Linked DNA regions of Ovis aries. The protein of the gene in region 2 interacts with the protein of the main gene of each other region in a pairwise test. Links are inferred from orthologs where the notes say so. Each region holds a gene or a part of one and is shown on either strand. Other genes may lie near its edges.

Region 1 (3,517 bases), on a different chromosome or scaffold from region 2:
AACTCATCACGATCCTTTACTCTGAGAATCTGTCTTTGAAACTTATAGATTTCTTCAAAACTAAAAACAAAAACAAATTCATTAATTTGGTCAAGTATCAGAATTCAGACTCCCCTGCCCCATTTAGTGCTTTCTTACTTTTCCTTTTCCTATACAAACAAGAATGCAAATTTAATGAACAGTGATCTAGACATGAACAGGAGAGATCTACAGTTAAATACTGATACAAACCTGCCTCTATCTGTGACTGAAAAGACCAAAAGGAAACCCTCGCCAGTTCTCATATACTGTTCTCTCATAGCTCCAAATTCCTCTTGTCCCGCTGTATCCAGAACTAAAGAAAAAACAAGAAATGTAATGATGTTCACGTGTTCATCTCACAAAAATGGCTCCCTCACATGGGCAGGCCCAGTTAATGTGAATCCTTTGGAAAACATCACACTTGGTATTTTTTAAACAGCATTCCCCTTTTAGTACTTTATTTTCAATGCTAAAGACAAATGTATTCTAATGGCAGACAGTCGCAGAGTTATCTTCATCAGTGCAGGTTGATTTCGTAGTTAGAATACATTAGCATAGCAATGACAAGGTTAAAAATATCAAATCCATATAGGCAGACAGTCTCAGATAACCTCTACAGTCACTTGGATATTTACCTCCTCTGTGAAAAGAACTGAAAAAGATACTTGTAAATTCAAGAAGGAAATGCTGGTGCACCCCACCCCCGCAAATGCCATACTGAATGTACAGGTGCTAAGGTATTCATTGATCTCTGTGAAGAGAAGAATCATACAAGTTAAAAGAACAGCCCTTTCTCTTGTGGAGGAGTGGAATGTTTAGCCAAGCACAAAACACTATTTGCTAAGGCCTCTGTGCTATAAACTCTAAGCAAGTTAGCAAATATTGAAGCTTTTCTATATTTACCTCACCCATTTGGGCCTTCATCAAAATGCAGGAAGAGCGAAAACCTCGTTTGTTTTTTTTCCAAATGTCCCAATAAACACAACTCTAACAAGTTACAGTGACATGACTAATTTTACCTGCTCTCAATCCAGTTACTGTTTTATATTACATTTAAATTGCCCAACGTGTAGATTCATTGATTAAAACTAATGAAAAAGATGAACTTATATTCAAGATCATCTAACATTTCAACTGCAGTTATTTAACCTAGCAAAACTTCAAAGCTTACTTAAAAAAATATGATACGTAAACCATCAAATAAAGGAACGTTACTTACTGTCTAGACGGGCCGCCCGGTCATCTATCACGCACTGCTTTGTGTAGGAATCCTCGATGGTTGGATCATAATCCGTTACAAAATAAGACTGTAAGAAAAATACCATAATTTTAAAATTTATGCTTACTTGCCCAAGTACCAACATAACGTTACCCAGAACTCAAAATATTTTCACTGTATTAAAGTGTATCCTACTATGTCAATTCCCTATTGAATGAAATCTATTCACAGCAGCTTCCAAGTGGAGAAAGGGTTCTAAACATTTCTGAATTTTCGCATCTGAAACATGTAAGAAGATTGTAAAAGCTCTACTACAGTTTTTTTCCATTTTTCATAATTAACTTATATACACCTAAAACTCTACATCTCAAGTTCTAGGAAAACTAGAAACACACCTATAGCTGTAATTCAGGTCTATCTCCAACCCAAAGGCAGGCATCAGTCCTTAGAACAAACTGTAACCGTTTTGGAACAAAAGAGACAACACGAAGTCTGCCTGCCTCAATGCCTCATCGTCTCTTCACTTTTCTCACACCTTGTCTTAGTTCCCTTTCAGTTGCCCTGTGTATTACCCTAAAGGTCATGATTTCAGGATTTTTTTTAAAAGAAACTCCTCGTATGGGGGCGGAGAGGGAGGGGGCAGGGACTAATCTGCTTGCTACCCTGACTTTACATATTTATTTTAATTTTGAATGATACTCCCTATTTTTTATTTGTATTTTTGGAGTAACTTTAGTTATATAGAATTAAGCCATAATTCTATTTCCCTTTTGGTGGCTTCATTTAAATGATCAAATTGCCAACATCAGTTGGATCATCAAAAAAGCAAGAGAGTTCCAGAAAACATCTTCTTCTGCTTTATTGACTACACCAAAGCCTTTGACTCTGTGGATCACAATAAACTGTGGAAAATTATTAATAACATGGGAATACCAGACCACCTGACCTGCCTCCTGAGAAATCTGTATGCAGGTCAGGAAGCAACAGTTAGAACTGGACATGGAACAACAGACTGGCTCCAAATTGGGAAAGGAGTATGCCAAGGCTGTTTATTGTCACCCTGCTCATTTAACTTATATGCAGAGTACATCATGAGAAACGCTGGGCTGGAAGAAGCATAAGCTGGAATCAAGACTGCCAAGAGAAATATCAATAACCTCACACATGCAGATGACACCACTCTTATGGCAGAAAGCAAAGAACTAAAAAGTCTCTTGATGAAAGTGAAAGAGGAGAGTGGAAAAAGTTGGCTTAAAATTCAACATTCAGAACACTAAGATCATGGCATCTTGTCCCATCACTTCCTGGGAAATAGATGGGGAAACAATAGCAACAGTGAGAGACTTTATTTTCTTGCGTTCCAAAATCACTGCAGATGGTGACTGCAGCCATGAAATTAAAAGATGCTTACTCCTTGGAAGAAAAGCTATGACCAACCTAGATAGCATATTTAAAAGCAGAGACATTACTTTACCAACTAAGGTACATCTAGTCAAAGCTTTGGTTTTTCCGGTAGTCATGTATGGATGTGAGAGTTGGACTACAAAGAAAGCTGAAGAATTGATGCTTTTGAACTGTGGTGTTGGAGAAGACTCTTGAGAGTCCCTTGGACTGCAAGAAGATCCAACCAGCCCATCCTAAAGGAAATCAGTCCTGAATATTCATTGGAAGGACTGATGCTGAAGCTGAAACTCCAATACTTTGGCCACCTGATACAAGAACTGACTCATTTGAAAAGACCCTGGTGCTGGGCAAGATTGAAGGTGGGAGGGAAAGGAGGACAACAGAGGATGAGATGGTTGGATGGTATCACCAACTCAATGGACAGGAGTTTGAGTAAGCTCTGGGGGTTGGTGATGGATAGGGTAGCCTGGCATGCTGCAATCCACAGGGTCGCAAACAGTCGGATATGACTGTACGACTGAACTGAACTGATTTTTTTTTTTAAATTACCAACAGGAGGGGCTTTGAGTAGAAAGCCATTTCCATCACCACCCCATTCCCATTTTAAAATAAACAGATATCAAAACAATCTTTGAACTGACTCTCTGGAACCCACACCTCTTCTAAAAGTAAATACAATATTCTTTGTACCCACTATTCTAAACAACACAGAAAGCAGTCTTTCACTAAACAACCTGGATAAAGCACAGTATTTAAACCTTAAGTTTCCTGAAACATGTTTCTCCATAGTAACCTGACACTTCCTGCCATGCTTTCATCTTGTAAAACCTAAGCTTCAATGACGACTCCCAAGTTATCCCTTAATGTGCCAAA
Region 2 (4,041 bases):
GCCCACCACGCCCCCCCGCCAAAAGGTCGCCCTCCTTGGAGCCCTCCCTGATGAAGACATGCCTGTCTTAAGCCAAAGCAACATCCTTTCTTTGGACCTTGGACCCCAATCACTGAGTTGGGTCCCACTTCGCAGAAACTCTGAGCCAGAAATTATATTTGGGGGGCCTGTGTGTCCTGGCTGTTGCTGGAGTGACAAGGCAGGCTCCTCGGGTCTTCCTTTTCAAGGAGGTTCCTGGTGTCTGCCTCCCACATTTCAGGGACTGGAATTAAAACCTTTCCTGGGACTCTGGCACAACATGCATGTGTCTAATTTACCTTGCAAGGGAATCAGGGCTCTTGTGGAGAGTGCTTGAGACAGGCAGTCTCTGCTGGGGGCCGTGGTATCTCCTCCAGTGAGCGGAGCCTACCCCCTCTGACTTGGGGTATAGGCTGGGGAAGGGGGCATTCCCCCACACATCTGCTCCAGGTGTGGGGGGCTGGGCCCTGGACTGCCTGGTGCTGGTGAGCAAAGTCTGAGGCAACTTGTGGCACAAACCGAGCACGTGGCCTGGGTGCTCCGTGCCTAGAGACTGGATCATGTCTGCACCTGCCCCAGTCTCGGCAGATCGGCAAGGCAGGCTGGCAGATCCTGTGTGCGTGGGAGGCAGCCAGCAGCAGCACCATGTGCTGACGACCTCACAGCCAGACTACCCCCCTGTTCAGCGCTGAGTGTCAGAACCACCCCCAGAACCTCCACTAAGCAAAGGGGTTAGTTTCCATGGAGACACAGCATCCTTTCTCCATGGCAACCTGAAATCCCCAAAACCAAGTTAAGCTCAGGCATGAGTCATCTGTGGCCAGTAGGGGGCACTCTCCCAAAAGGCTGACCTTAGGGCCAGGGACAGATGAGCAGTTGACCACAGACTTGAAGGTGCCCCAAGGGCGAGGCCCGTGGAGACCTTGGCGGGCCCTGCTTAACCCCTTCTTGCCCATCTGTGCGGTTCGAGGAGTCTGGCAAGGCTGCAGGAAGCGCCGTGTGGAGGTGGCAGCCCCACAGCTGGAACCCTGGGCAGGCCACCTGCATGGAGTGGATCCCTGCCCCCAGAGGCTGGGCCCAGAGCAGAGGAAGCAGACACTGCCCGGGCTGAGTGGACACACAAGAGTTAACTGGCGGGTGTGACAGGGCGAACCGCCCTCAGGAAGTGTTACTCACCATTGGGAATGTGAGTGCTCCCGCCTTGGGGGCTGGCTTCTCTGAGTCCCGGGAGAGACTGGAGGAGCTCCCAGCCATGGAAACCCCTGGGGAGCCAAGAACAGGCCCCCTCGGAGCCCCCTACCCAGCCAGCTTCGCTTCTGGGCACCTGGAGAGAGAAAAGTTAGTGAAGTTGGAAGGGCAGCCCCGGTGGGGTGGGGTGGAAGGTGGGGAACCCGAGCTGGGTCTGTCCCAGGGCCAAGGAGGGGGAGACGGTTGGGCAAATCCCTGCTCAGGTCTGGTGCCTCCACCCCGCACCCCGGCCAGGCCAGCCCAGGACCCGCGGTACGATGTGCCTGGTGCCAGCGGGGTGCAGGCAGGTGGATCGCAGCGGCCAGGGCGCACCGTGAGCCTGCGGGAGCGCCTGCTGCTCACCCGGCCCGTGTGGCTGCAGCTGCGGGCCAACGAGGCTGCCGCGCTGCACGTGCTGAGGACCGAGCCCCCCGGGGTGAGTCTCTCCCCACCCCTGGGGCTGGAGGCTGAGGGTAGGGGGGCGAGGGGCTGGACACAGAGGACCCAAGCCTCTGATCCCTGTCCACTCGCAGACATTTCTGGTACGGAAGTCTAACAGTCGCCAGTGCCAAGCCCTGTGCGTGCGGCTGCCCGAGGCCAGTGGCCCCTCCTTCGTCTCCAGCCACTGTATCCAGGAGACCGCTCGGGGTGAGAGGGACTGGCCCGGCCGGGCGGGAGGGGCTGGAAGCATCAGGTCGGGGCGCAGGGGGGTGCTCCCAGAGAACAACCTCACTTCCCATCCCTCAGGCGTCTCCCTGGAGGGCTCAGACCTTGTGTTCCTAGACCTGGTTCAGCTGATCTGTGCCTACTGCCACACCCGGTGAGCCTGCCTGCAGGGCGCCTGCTCTCCACAGGGCCCTGGTTCCCTTCCTGGGACACCTTGTCCTCCTTGCCCACGGGCACTCCCGGTGCCCGCCACCCAGAGCTTTCCTCACTGCCCACTTTTTGCTCCCCTCTGGCCTCAGGGACATTCTTCTCCTCCCGCTTCAGCTCCCCAGAGCCATCCGCCAGGCAGCCACCCACAAGGAGCTGGAAGCCATCTCCCATCTGGGCATGGGTAAGGGCTCCCGGGCTACCCACTGCACAGATGGACAAGCTGAGGCCAAGAGGGAGAGGGAAGGTGAAGGCACACAGCCTGAAGCCTGGGCCTTTCTCCCAGTTGGGTCCCCTCCCTGAGCCTCCCCACCCCCACCCTGAGGCCCAACCTGTTTCTCTTCCCTAGAGTTCTGGAGCTCCTCCCTCAACACCAAGGCTCAGCTAGGCCCATCGGAAGGCCCCCCACTGCCCCGGCTGAAGCCCCGGCCCCCACAAGAGCTGGACCAGGGCACCAGAGCTGCCCTGTGTTTCTTCAACCCCCTGTTCCCAGGGGATCTGGGCCCCACCAAGAGGGAGATATTCAAGAGGAGCTTCAAAGTGCGTGTGTCCACGGAGACCTCCAGCCCCCTGTCTCCCCCAGCTGTGCCGCCTCCCCCAGTTCCGGTGTTGCCAGGGACAGCCCCCAACCAGACAGAAAGGTTGCCCCCTCGCCAGCTGCTACGGAGGGAGAGCTCGGTAGGGTACCGGGTGCCAGGGGGCACCAGCCCCAGCCTCCCGCCGCTGCCCTCCCTCCAGGAGGTGGACTGCGCCTCCCCCAGCAGCTCAGAGGAGGAGGGGGTGCCGGGGTCCCAGGGGAGCCCAGCGACCTCACCCCACCTGGGCCACCAGCGGCGGCGGCGACCCCTGCTTCGGTCCATGAGCGCTGCCTTCTGCTCCCTGCTAGCGCCTGAGCGGCAGGTGGGCCGGGCAGCTGCGGCGCTGACACAGGACAGACACACGGCCGTGGGACAGCTGGTGCAGGACCTGCTGACCCAGGTGCGTGCCGGCCCCGAACCCCGGGAGCTGCAGGCCGTCCGCGAGGCCCTGAGCCGGGCCCGAGCCATGCTGAGCGCGGAGCTGAGCCCGGAGAAGCTGCTGCCACCAGACAGGCTGGGTGAGACTCCAGCATGGGGTCCACTGTCTCCAGAATTCAGCTTTTCTGCCTTCCTCTCTCTCTGCCTCTCAGGGCTGGCCTTTCTCAGCCTGTTCTTCCATGTACACCCACCTTGTCTCTGCATCATTCAAGCAACTTCTACCCACCGCCTCTCTCCCAGTCACAATGATTCCTCCTCGTTTTCATCCCTCTCCCCTCCTGAGCATGCGCTTCCTCCCCGGGACCCCCACGCCACCCCGGTTCCTCTGACCGTTGCCTGCCTCTCCCCCACAGAGCACGTCCTGGAGAAGTCGCTGCACCGCTCAGTGCTCAAGCCGCTGCGGCCCATCCTGGTGGCCCGCCTGCGGCGCCGGCTTTCAGCCAACAGCTCCCTGGGCCGCCTGGCTGAAGGCCTCCGCCTGGCCCGGGCCCGGGGCGCCAGCGCCTTCGGGTCCCACTTAAGCCTGCCCTCCCCAGTAGAGATGGAGCAGGTACGTCAGAAGCTGCTACAGCTGCTTCGCGCCTACTCACCCAGCGCCCAGGTCAAGCGGCTCCTGCAGGCCTGCAAGCTGCTCTACACAGCCCTGAGGACCCAGGCGGGTATGCCCCCTCCCACCGGCCACTGCCAAGTCAGAGGCCACCGGGCTGAGGCCCTAGGAATGGCACAGCAGGGAAAACAAAGGAAAAAAAATACATATATGTATGTGGATCCACCTCCCCATTTCATAGATGGTAATACTGTGGCCCAGAAAGCAGAGCATCCACTCCCCATCCATTGCCCCTGGTTGCCTGGCAGGCAGAGGGAGGGTCGTTGTCTAAGATAAGTAGCTGAGGATCCTGACCCTGTG

Evidence for each region. The genes of interacting proteins can lie anywhere in the genome.
Region 1: the proteins of RIN1 (region 2) and RRAS2 interact in binary tests that used the Homo sapiens proteins (3 or more experiments, as listed by UniProt). The link is inferred for Ovis aries from reciprocal best matches to the Homo sapiens genes RIN1 and RRAS2.

The regions. Positions count from the first base shown.
Region 1 is NC_056068.1:38,175,450-38,178,966, reverse strand, and holds part of RRAS2 (ras-related protein R-Ras2), read right to left. Parts: intron 1,329-3,517; coding exon 1,241-1,328; intron 335-1,240; coding exon 232-334; intron 61-231; coding exon 1-60. UniProt on the Homo sapiens protein: GTP-binding protein with GTPase activity, involved in the regulation of MAPK signaling pathway and thereby controlling multiple cellular processes. Regulates craniofacial development.
Region 2 is NC_056074.1:40,814,689-40,818,729, reverse strand, and holds the start of RIN1 (ras and Rab interactor 1), read left to right. Parts: upstream 1-1,228; 5' UTR 1,229-1,270; coding exon 1,271-1,356; intron 1,357-1,500; coding exon 1,501-1,681; intron 1,682-1,778; coding exon 1,779-1,893; intron 1,894-1,992; coding exon 1,993-2,065; intron 2,066-2,210; coding exon 2,211-2,302; intron 2,303-2,467; coding exon 2,468-3,214; intron 3,215-3,487; coding exon 3,488-3,793; intron 3,794-4,041. UniProt on the Homo sapiens protein: Ras effector protein, which may serve as an inhibitory modulator of neuronal plasticity in aversive memory formation. Can affect Ras signaling at different levels. First, by competing with RAF1 protein for binding to activated Ras.